Coturnix japonica: one gene and its partner. The protein of the gene in region 1 interacts with the protein of each later gene in a pairwise test. Links are inferred from orthologs where the notes say so. Each region holds a gene or a part of one and is shown on either strand. Other genes may lie near its edges.

What was found. The genes of interacting proteins can lie anywhere in the genome.
Region 2: the proteins of PLIN1 (region 1) and ABHD5 interact in a protein complementation assay, tested with the Homo sapiens proteins (3 studies listed by BioGRID, with this or other methods). The link is inferred for Coturnix japonica from reciprocal best matches to the Homo sapiens genes PLIN1 and ABHD5.

The regions. Positions count from the first base shown.
Region 1 is NC_029525.1:11,485,687-11,491,469, forward strand, and holds the start of PLIN1 (perilipin-1), read left to right. Parts: upstream 1-2,485; 5' UTR 2,486-2,784; intron 2,785-2,945; exon of another isoform or gene 2,946-3,309; intron 3,310-3,455; 5' UTR 3,456-3,469; coding exon 3,470-3,514; intron 3,515-3,566; exon of another isoform or gene 3,567-3,966; coding exon 3,967-4,165; intron 4,166-4,259; coding exon 4,260-4,342; intron 4,343-4,688; coding exon 4,689-4,941; intron 4,942-5,132; coding exon 5,133-5,362; intron 5,363-5,435; coding exon 5,436-5,588; intron 5,589-5,783. UniProt on the Homo sapiens protein: Modulator of adipocyte lipid metabolism. Coats lipid storage droplets to protect them from breakdown by hormone-sensitive lipase (HSL). Its absence may result in leanness. Plays a role in unilocular lipid droplet formation by activating CIDEC.
Region 2 is NC_029517.1:37,634,979-37,640,018, forward strand, and holds part of ABHD5 (1-acylglycerol-3-phosphate O-acyltransferase ABHD5), read right to left. Parts: intron 4,199-5,040; coding exon 4,087-4,198; intron 3,475-4,086; coding exon 3,288-3,474; intron 1,067-3,287; coding exon 977-1,066; 3' UTR 1-976. UniProt on the Homo sapiens protein: Coenzyme A-dependent lysophosphatidic acid acyltransferase that catalyzes the transfer of an acyl group on a lysophosphatidic acid.

The sequences.
Region 1 (5,783 bases):
TCCCAGAGAGAAGGGAACAGAGTCAGACTTGATCATGTATCAGAATGTATTTGAGAAGAGAAACTTACTACCTGGATTTGGGCATTCATGGTTCAGATTTTCTTTCCTGATCCTCTCTGTCCTTCCATCATGACAGCAAGGTTGGTTGTGTGTTCCCTCTCTGGTTCTACCATTTGCAAATGCCTTATGTTTGCCCTTGCGACTTACTGCTCTTCTTCTGGCTGGGAATGATTGCCTGGCAGTGTGAGCTCAGTTAGAGGAGAACTGCTGTGTCCAGCAATCTAACAGCTTACACGATGTGCTGTCTTTGTTGCTCCTGACTTTGCAGAGTATCAGTTCTAACACCATCTGAGAGCGATTTGCACATGTCATACGACACAAAATTATTGCTTTTCTTCACCAGAGCCAGGTCTGTGTGTTCTGTTGCTTTCTGACTGCAGGGGCTGCCTGTTTAATCCCTCAGGAGATGTGAATAGAGATTATCCTAACCCGGACCAACATATTCTCTTATTATTTCTAATACTCTCTGTAAACAGAAAGTAAAAGGTGCTGTTCTCCTTTATTAAAGGAGGAGGCTGTGGAACTGAGCAGGCAAGGTTATGCAGTGCCCCAGTTTACCTAAAGTCATTGTGGTCGTGCTTGGAATTACTTCCACTCTGAATGTGAAGTGTTTGAAAATAGAGGTTGCTGAGCAGGGTAACTAAGTGTGTCTGAAGACCAAACTTGGCTTATAGCAGCTCTTCTTTTTAATACTGAAATGAATACCACTAGAAGTAGAGCACTCTGCAGGTCAGGCCTTAATGGATGTGTTGTCTTCAAGGGCTTTTTCTTGCTACTTGTTTAAGGGTTGGGTTTTTTGTTGTTTCTTTACTCCATGTGCCTTTGAGCTGCTGGCGCTGTGTGGTCCATCCCTCTCTTGGTCAGATTTGGCCATTATCATAGTGTCAGCAACCTGGTAAGGAAAGGAGAGGAGTGTTGGTGATCTACCAGCAGAGCCCTGGACACTCTTTGCCTACAACATGTATCTTCTTGCAAGAAGCTGCATTATAAATTCCTCTCAGGGGACCTCTTGGGTACAAATCAGATCTTAGGCTGGTTTGAAGACTGATTCCTCTTTTTCCCATGCAGTTCATGGGTAAGGGGGAATGGATTCACACACGTATGTAGCCCTGGCTTAGATAGATGTTCCTGTGCTCTGCAGAGGGAGCAGGGTGGTTTCTTGCCCACGTGCCCAACAAACACCGTGCAAAGACACAAACCAGTCCTTGATGCTCTTCCTGGAGGGGCTGGGGTGGCTCATCAAGTACAGACTTAACCTGGGAGATGCAGCAAAGAATTTTCAGCCTTTCTCAGCCTTACCTGTTCCATTTGGCATAACACGGGTCAGAGCATACAGGAGTAACTTTACTTGATCTCAAGCACTAATACTGCCTTTCTGCTCCCCCGCTGGGGGATAGCAGTTTAACGTACCTTAATGTAATGTGACTGAAGCCATGGGATTGCAAGCAAATGGAGAAAATCCTTTTAGTGCCTTTTGTGTGTGTGTTTCTAATTTGACAGCTGGAATAAGGTGAGCTGTTTGAACACAAGCAATAAACTTTGGTGTGTATGACACTGCATCTGTGTGTGACTTTGAGGGTGGGGAAAAGCAAAGAGATTCTGAAGGAGTCCCCTCTCAGATCACTGAGATTTCTGGAGTTGTTACAGATGTTTAATGATGAATTAAGGGCAGAGAGTGGAGACTGGCATCTCCATCTGTGGTGGGGAGGGATGGAGAAGGGATAACCAGTGCTACTGAGCTCCTACTGGTATCTTACTGCTTACTCCTATCCCCTGCAACAAGAGCTTTACAAAGGCGAAGGCTCCAAAACGTCATCCCCTGAACAATATACAAAGCATTGCATGCAGCAACGATTTAGCAAGACTTTCCTTCTGAATGACTGCTCTTACACACGCATTTCATAATAGTAGCAATTAACAGCAGAATGGTAAGTGAGATAAGTAATCTACTCAGACAGGAGGCTTTCCTAATGTTAACACTGCTTGGTGTGGTATTTCAGGAAGGGTGAGCTACTCAGCATTCCCAGGTGAGCAGCAGGAGCGACCAAAGGTCTAAAAACCAACATCTCCAGGGAGGGATCAAATGAGCCGTTTTGTAGAGGAAAGGTGACTGAGGGAGGGTGCGCGTGTGGAAGGTTTGCAGTCAAGTGTAAGGCAATAAATTAGTCTCTAATCCACCTAGGGGGTAATACACATATATTGTCACAAAAGGGAATTAAATCGTGACTGAAGAGATTGCCTGGGATGACAGTGCCCCATAGGAAGGGGAGGGGATGGGCACAAGTAGGGCAGAGGCTGTGCTGTCTGCTGATCCCTGATCTCACTGGGCAGAGGGAAGGCTGGCATTGCTCCTGGTATCATGCCCCTTCACCATGGCCAATAGAGCAGAGCTGTGAGCAGGCTGCTGCCCTTTGTCCCACTGTCTGCAGAACCCTGAATCACCGCAGCACTGTGCCAGAACCTGACAGACACCCACATGCCTCTGCCTGGGGTGAGCCCGTTAATGCAGGGCTGTGGGTAAGCCCAGGCTCTTCCAGGAGTCATGGAGCACTAAGATCACCCAGTACAACCATCAGCACACCCCCACCATGCTCACAGACTAACTCCATCAGTGCCACATCCCCATAGTTCTTGAACACCTCCAGGGACAGTGACTCCACCACCTCCATAGGCAGCCTATTCTTCCTGCAGAACACTGCCCATATGCCTGCCCTTCTGGTCCAGGTGAGTAAGGATCCAGCCAGGTCTGCTTTCTCTGTGCTGACATTCCCTTACTTTGTTAGCAGTAAGGGAAAGTGCTCCTGCTCATCCCCACTCAGTCCTTTTACCCTCCTGTCCTGCTGCTTGGCTACACCACATCCACTTTTCCATCCCTTCTTCAATTCCCTTCTCTGTATTGCACCAAACCCAAGCTGCACACCCACACTTTCTATCCCCCCCGCTTCTCACCGGCCTTGGTGCACTGCCACAGTGCTGCACAAACACAGAAAGGTCTTAATCTCTTTTGCATCCATCATCTCCTGATTTGACGCATGGGGATGATTTTGCAGCCATCCATCCCACAAGATGAGAACCTTTGGGGAGCTGTTTGCTCAGTTTCCCCAGCAACGCACGTCCCCCCAGCCCAGCCCAGAGGTGGAGCCTGGGGGTAGTAGTGCCCCAACACCACATATCCCAGGCACAGGACCCGAGTGAGGACAGATTGCTGAGGAGCTCTAGCAGAGGAGCATTGGCTCTAGAGTTTAACTGGTAAAAAGTCAAAGCTTGGGCAATGCCATAAGCACAGCACCCAAGGGAGCTGTGTGGCCCAGCCCAACCCAAGCACATCACGCTTTGAGCCCCAGCCCAGCTCAGACCTCACTGCACAGTCTGCAGCTCTGCACTTTGCTTTGCAGGAGGACGTGGCACAATGACGGCAAGGAAGAACCAGCCTTTGCAGAATGGAAGGGCCAAGGTGAGTGTGGGGAGAGGGAGAGGAAAGGGCAGAGGAGGGGAATAGCTCATACCGTGCTGTCTTGTGTGTTATCTTGGCTTGTAATAATACGGAGCAGCCATTAAAGCACGACCATTCACATACCTGCAATTAAATAACTGAGAATCAACAAAGATAACCTTGATAGCAGCCTTCAGCACTGTATCAGCAGTACCTATATTTCATCTTTGTCCCCATGGTGGACCAAAAACCTCCAGCAATGCACAGCTGGGAGCACAGCTACAGCCACTGGGGTCACTTATCCATGTGATTTCTGGGTCAGCTGGCTCCATGGCAAGATGAAATTAGCAGGAGGTGTATTTTCCTTATTGAACACGCAGATTCACAGACCAGTCAGGCCACAAAACCAGACTCAGCTTCTCTTGAGGAGTAGCTGCTGGCTGGCCCCTAACTGGTCCCCATCTGATGCACAGGAGAACGTGCTGCAGCGGGTCCTGCAGCTGCCGGTGGTGAGCTCAACCTGCGAAAGCTTGCAGCGGACCTACACCAGCACCAAAGAGGTCCACCCAATTGTAGCCTCGGTGTGTGAGGTCTATGAGCAGGGCGTGAAGGGTGCCAGCGCCTTGGCCATGTGGAGCGTGGAGCCTGTGGTGCGCAGGCTGGAGCCCCAGTGTGAGTCCATCAGGAGGGATGTGGCGGGGTACCCTCAGTGGCACAGCCCCCAGCCTTAATCTCCACCCCGTTCTCATGCTTTTGCCCTTGGCAGTCTCAATGGCCAACAACTTGGCGTGTCGGGGCTTGGACCACCTGGAGGAGAAGATCCCAGCCCTTCAGTATCCTGTTGACAAGGTAAGTCATGGGTGGGAAAGCCTCTGGGACCCTCTAGGCCCCCCTGCAGAGCCCACAGTACTTCTCCTCTGGGACAGATCCTAGTTTTGCTTCCCACCTGGTCACCAGTGATGGCAAAGGGCTTCCATAGAGCACCTCAAAGCAAGGACTTGGCCACAGGTGTGGTTGAATTGCTCCTCAGTATAGGCCAGCAGTGTCCTGTATGGCTGGCTACCTGCAGCCCAGGCTATAGGAAATTGTTCTGCTGCTCTAGGTTATGTCTTCTTGTGCAGCCCACAGTCACTCCAGCTGCCCCGTGCCATCCAGAGCACATCAGAAGGGCTCTTCTCTATCTCTCTGCCCGCAGCTTGCCTCCAAAGTGAAGGACACTATCTCCACCCCCATCCAAAGTGCCAAGAGCACCATTGGCAACTCTATGGACAAGATCCTGGGGCTGGCAGTGGAGGGCTATGAGACCACCAAGAGCACCGTGGAGACCACAGCAAGGTACACGAGGAGCAACTCAGTGAGCCAGATGGCAGCTGCCGGGATGGACACAGCTCTGGATGGGCTGGAGAAGCTGATGGAATACCTGCTGCCAGAAGAGGAGGAGGAAGCAGGTAGTACTGGTGCCAAGATCACCTCGGGGTGTCCTGGTAAGGTCTGCTGGGGTGGAGGAATCACCCAAGGCTGGCACCATGGAGGTGGGGTCTTGTTGATGGGGTGCAGGTAGAAAGAGGAGGATCTTGGTGCAGGGCCGTCCCATCACGCTGTAACATCCCACACTCCCCCTGTGCTATTCTGCCTTTAGATCTGAAGCCCAAGCAGCCCTGTAGGCCAGCAGCAAAGGTCTCACAGCAGCAGTCCAGGACTTACAGGGCTCACAGTGCTCCCAGTGCCCCCAGCAGTGCACCCAGCACCCTGGGCCGGATCGGAGCCCTGGTCAGCACTGCCTCCCACCGTGCTTACTATCACACCGCCCAGAACCTCCAGCGTGCCAAAGCCAAAGGGCAGGAACTGGTCGTCTGGATCCCCATCCTGGTGAGTCCCAGCCTGTCCCAAAGCCCTGGGACCTGGGACTCACCCCAAGCACTGGTTTCTGTCCCCCCTGCAGGGCAGTCTGGTCAAGCCAAGCCAGCCCGTGGTGCAACAGAGCCATAGTGAGAGGCAGAGCACTGCAGGCAGCTGGCGGCAGAGCAGGATGCCGGAGCAGAAACAGGAGAAAGCAGAGAAGAAGGAGGACAAAAAGAACAGCCATGCTGGTGAGGTAGGGAAAAATGAAGGTAGTGGTGAGATGGGGTCATCTCGGTCCCACCATGTTCTCGTTCTCTTCTCCAACAAGCCAAATCAAGGCACTTCCCTTCTGGCATTCTAACAGGGGCTGGGTGCAGAAGGACCCAGCAATCAGCATCTCTTGCTCAGTCCTCCTTAGGAGAAAAAGCCCTGAATTCCCAAACAGGGC
Region 2 (5,040 bases), on another chromosome or scaffold:
AATTTACTGGTAGAAGTTTTGTCTACAGAAAAATGGAATGATGCTCACTTACCGGATGACCATTCCCCAGCCCTAGTAAAAATCTTCCTGCCAGCTTCTCCAAAGTTGTTAGGTTTAGGCAAGCAATGAATCCTGCGGTAATCACAAAGTGTTAAAAATAGAGCAACTAATGAGCCATTTTCTGTACTTTAAATCACTGAGATCTACATAGAAAATCTTTATGGAAGTGTAAGCACTGGTTACATCACTGACTCTTACAAACTGAGGCTTCTGTAAAAGCTATACATGTGGAAAAGGATGCCTTAAGATAAAGAGAAATGAAATACAAGAGAAGAGAGATTTTCTAGTATTGAGTTCTGATTCTTTACAAATTACCATACATTTTTTCAGTGAAAAGCACTGCCCATTATTTTGGCCCAGTCTCTTTCCCAAAATCAGCTTCATAAGCTGTTATCAGTCCAATTTAAAACAAACAAACAAACTCAAAGTCTTAAAATATTGTATATGGAGTTCTGGATTCCATAAACAAAATACAGAACAATTTCATATTCTTGCTATGAAACATCAACTAGAAAATATGAATGTTTATGAATAAACAAGCCCACAATTTATACATTATATCCACACTGATACTGATGTCTGTGTTAGTGGTGAATTCAACATCTTTAGATAGAGTTCAACAGGTGAACAATATTCAATTGCATTTTAAAGAAAATTCCAGTTTAAGAAGTCCTAAGTAAATTCATATACGGCAGGCCAACAGTCTACAGACAAATCTCAAATAAAACTGTACATTTGCTTCAAATCTACCTAGGCCCAAAAGGCACTTAGTGGTTTAAGTGTGCAAATTGCTTCTTAGAAGAAACAGTGTGCAAACAGAGCCTGTTTCATTAGCTCCGCATTCTTTAGTCATTTCCTGCAGTGTATTGCTATTAAATGGTGTCTACGGTGTAAGACTCTAAAGGACAGAAGATGGTCAGTCCACAGAATCACAGATGTCTTTCACTTTCTGGTTGAAGTCTTCAGGCTGATCAGCGTACACGTAATGACCTGCACCAAGGATAGCCTGGAGGACAAAGGTGAAGAAACAGTTAAAAGGGCAAGAATGCCATAAACGCATAAGTAAATACTGAGCTAGGTGAGGAATACTCCCCCTTGAAATGAATATCCTAAACCTGGCTTCTACACACTGATACACTATTACTTAGAAAGAGCAATTCTAGAACTGAAACTGATCTATTGCAGCCAGTGTGTGTTAACAGAGTTAGAACAACTGCTGCCAGGAGGTGGTACCATACAACCAACAAAAGACTCCAAACAGACGGAAAAACAAATGTTTGTTTCGCCCATGGAAGGAACTGTGCTAAACAGGAATAAAGGGTAAAAGAATCGCCTTTTCCATTGCACAACTTGTTGAAAAGAAGATCCAGGTAAACACAAGTCACTGCAAAACAAAGCAAGGAGAACATACCATACATATCAAATTTCTGAACAACTCTCATCTCTTTCATTCGCTGCTCAAACAGTTCTGCAGAGCAGCTTGTTAGTTCTGTGTTTGGAGAAGAGATAGCATCTAAACATCCGTATTCCCTTGCTATTATCAAAATTATATGGGAAGCTCTAAAGAACATACTGGGATAAAGGATTACCAATTCAGAGGCTTATATTGCTGAGGGTTCCCTAGCCTTGTGGAAGCAGACTTCAGTCCTCCCAGTGAAACAGTATTGCGTAAAGCAGGGAAAAGTCAAATCCAAATGATGCAATATATGGGGAAAAATACCCCGTGTATTTCTGGTCTAGATTATTTCATTGCAAGTGTGTAAAAAAAATTAAGGGCTTAAGTAACCACACACATTGTGGTGACTGCATTTTTGCTAAAACTAGCATGAAGCAAGTCTTCGCCATACTGTAGGTCAAAGGTACTTGACTATTTTAAGTTTATGGTCAGTTTGAGATTAATTTGTATTTAAATCTACTTTCCTCTGTCATCCCCTCCATTAAAACGCTTCCTCTTAAGTCTCTAAATGGAAGCACATTGCTTTAAGTGTGGCCAATTTAGTGTTTTAAAAAACAAGAACAACAAATCAAAGTAAATAATAATCTAAATAACATGCAATAAAGCCCTATGCATTCTAGCAAGTCTCAGCCTCAGGAGAACCCCTTTGCCCCTACAGCGCTGTGAATGTCTTTCCGTGCCTCTGTAATTTCCACCATCCCAATTTACCTTTTACAATCTGCATTTTAACTTGGTATACAATGAAGTTTTTCTATATGGTATGATTCTTAATAGTGTGGTTTCTTATGTTACAAGCTAATTCTTGGGTTAAGCAGTAAAGCAGCACTTTTGGATCTGGATGTTCCCATTTACAAAATGTATTTATGTTCTTTAACATGTGTAAGTTGTTCAACATCAATATCTTTTCTCCATGTTCCTGCTCTGATGTCAGCTATATCTAGATTACAAAATTTTATTTCAATGACTTGTCAAAGTTAATATCACATTATATACTTTTGTCCAGTTAGAACTAGACATCAGCAAGAAAGCAGCTGGCACACTCAAACCTTCTATCACAGCACTGGAACATGCAAGTATATTCAATTATCATGTCTGGCAGATGTGACAATACAGGAGAAATACTTCCAAAATGGTTTGTTTTTATAGGTACCATCAAAAACACAGTGTGCACATTTGTACTAAGTTAGAGGCATGTGCATCTGAAATGACAGTATCATGCCTCTAAAATAAGAATGTATTAGGTCCACAGACAACACCAAGTTTTTTTTGTAATGACTTAAAGAAAGATGCTTCCAAGAACCTAAGCAACAAGTAACAACCACTTTCTTAGCAGAGAAATTGAAGTATTATACAAACTGGTTAAAACACTTTATGAGAGCATTCTTATTATGTCATATGTATCTGTAGAAACTCAGACTGCTAAGGTTTAAAAGAGACAGACAAACATAAGTACTTACCAGTGACCACAAAAACTACTTGTATTAGCATGCTAGAGCAAAAAAAAATTGTAAAGTAGAAAAGCGATCTTGCTCAAAGATCTGATTCAGCTTCTAGAGCTTTCTTATTTTCTCTTACTCTGAAAAAAAGACTTCTGTTTGTTTTAAGCTTGATCTAAAACTTATTTCCTCTTTTTCTGTTGAAGAAATCAGAAGTTATTACCTAAGTCCATGAATCAGAGCTATCATTTCAACACTTGGTATAAAGATCGCACAGATACGCTTTGAACAAATTCACACAACGAACTAAGCAACTGCTTAAAAAGTGAACTTACTATTGTCTTCACATATGACTTTGGTCTCAGGGACTGGATAGTGCTGCCAGAATTACCATCTATGCATGAACGTGCTCCATAAACCACGGTGATAGGAATGTCTTGATCCATTTGTGGAATCCGTTGCAGCATTGGCCTTTTTGCCCATCCATAAGGAATAGTCATGTTCTTGAAAGCTGTTTCACCACTTCAAGGCATTCAAAAAGGGTAAAAGTAATTAAATTTCCATTGTATCTGCCTTTTCTCCCTTCCCAGTACCTGCCTAAGAATTCAAGTATGTGTGCCTTCTGATTATATGGCTGTAACAGTGTTTGAGGATGGAAATTCTGACTGTTAAGGAATGCAGGTTTGCAAAGTTTCAATTTGCAAATTTCAATATCTGTTTTTCAGTGATTATTTTTTGGTTGTTTTTTTTTTTTTTTTTTTTCTTTTTCTTCAGTACAGGGTAACAACACTTAAAAACAAAGAGGTGTCAATTTTTTCAAGTTCTTAAAGAAAATGATTTATTAACAAACTATAACAACTTTTGGTTAAAAAATAGCGCTCCAATTCTCAGAACTAGAACATTATAGTAGTTTAAGAGAACTAGTGAACTGGTACAGGTTCTACATCCACCAGTTTCTGAAATGCACATAAAGGGCAAAGGTAGATTTTTTTGTCTTTAATCAATACAGTAAATGTTACAATAAAAAAAAAAAAAAAAGAAAGAAAAAGCATGCACTCTGTTGCCATGACCATTGGAGGGAGCAGCAGGCCATCAGTAAGACTTCAAAACGCACACTATGAAACTCACACTCACCTGGGTGACTGCACATTGCAGTGATAGATATATTCAGTCACGGTGTTATCATCGAACATTGATGCATATTTTCGTTTGAAATCTGGTCTTAAGCGCTGAACAAGGCTTAGGCCTGTCAAAACAGAAAATGCTATTATAGGAGGAGTTGGCAGAGAAAACTATCAGACTGCTGAACACATTTCCTTACAACCCTTCAAACGTGCCCCCTTGAAAATTGTGGCTAACTCTGATGACTGCACTTAATTTCACCACTTGTAAGTCTTAGGAAAACATGGTGGCAAACAAGAATTAAACATAATTATTCTGAAGGACTTTATGTTGCCCCAGAAGAGGGACAACTCAATCCCTACTGAATACATATGGAGAATATTGCTGAATGGCCACTGTGGCAATAGGAGAAACATGCAAAGGGGATCAGCAAAAGGACTAAGCAGATAAAATTTTTAATAAAAATGCACTCTTGCCGGATACCAACGTTTTCCTTTCCCTTGCTCTGGCAGCTCTGGGTATACCAAAAGCATTCTGCCTTTCAGAACCAAAAGGCACTGTTGAAAAAAGCTAGGCTCTTTTTCTCTAGATATAAGTCTGTACTCCTTTTTTACATAACAGTCTGGTTTTTTTCTGAAGCTACTTCATCTGACTAACATTTAGGTGAAAGAACAGACGTCCATGCTGAAAAACAGGTGTAGAATTTTTGACATGAGTACAAGACATCTTGTGTGGAACCTGGAGCATTGATAGACTTGGAAGCATCGATAGTTGGTCTTGATGATCTTAAGGGTCTTTTTCAACCTAAATGATTCTACAATTCTATGATTCTATAAAATAAGAGATTCAACCTAAGAAAGCTATTATCTCCAACCTCTCTTAACAGACATAGAAGAGAGGCAGGTCCTTTCAAAAGCCAGTTAAGCTACCATTCTGAATCACCTCCTTAAGATATACGCCTCCTCT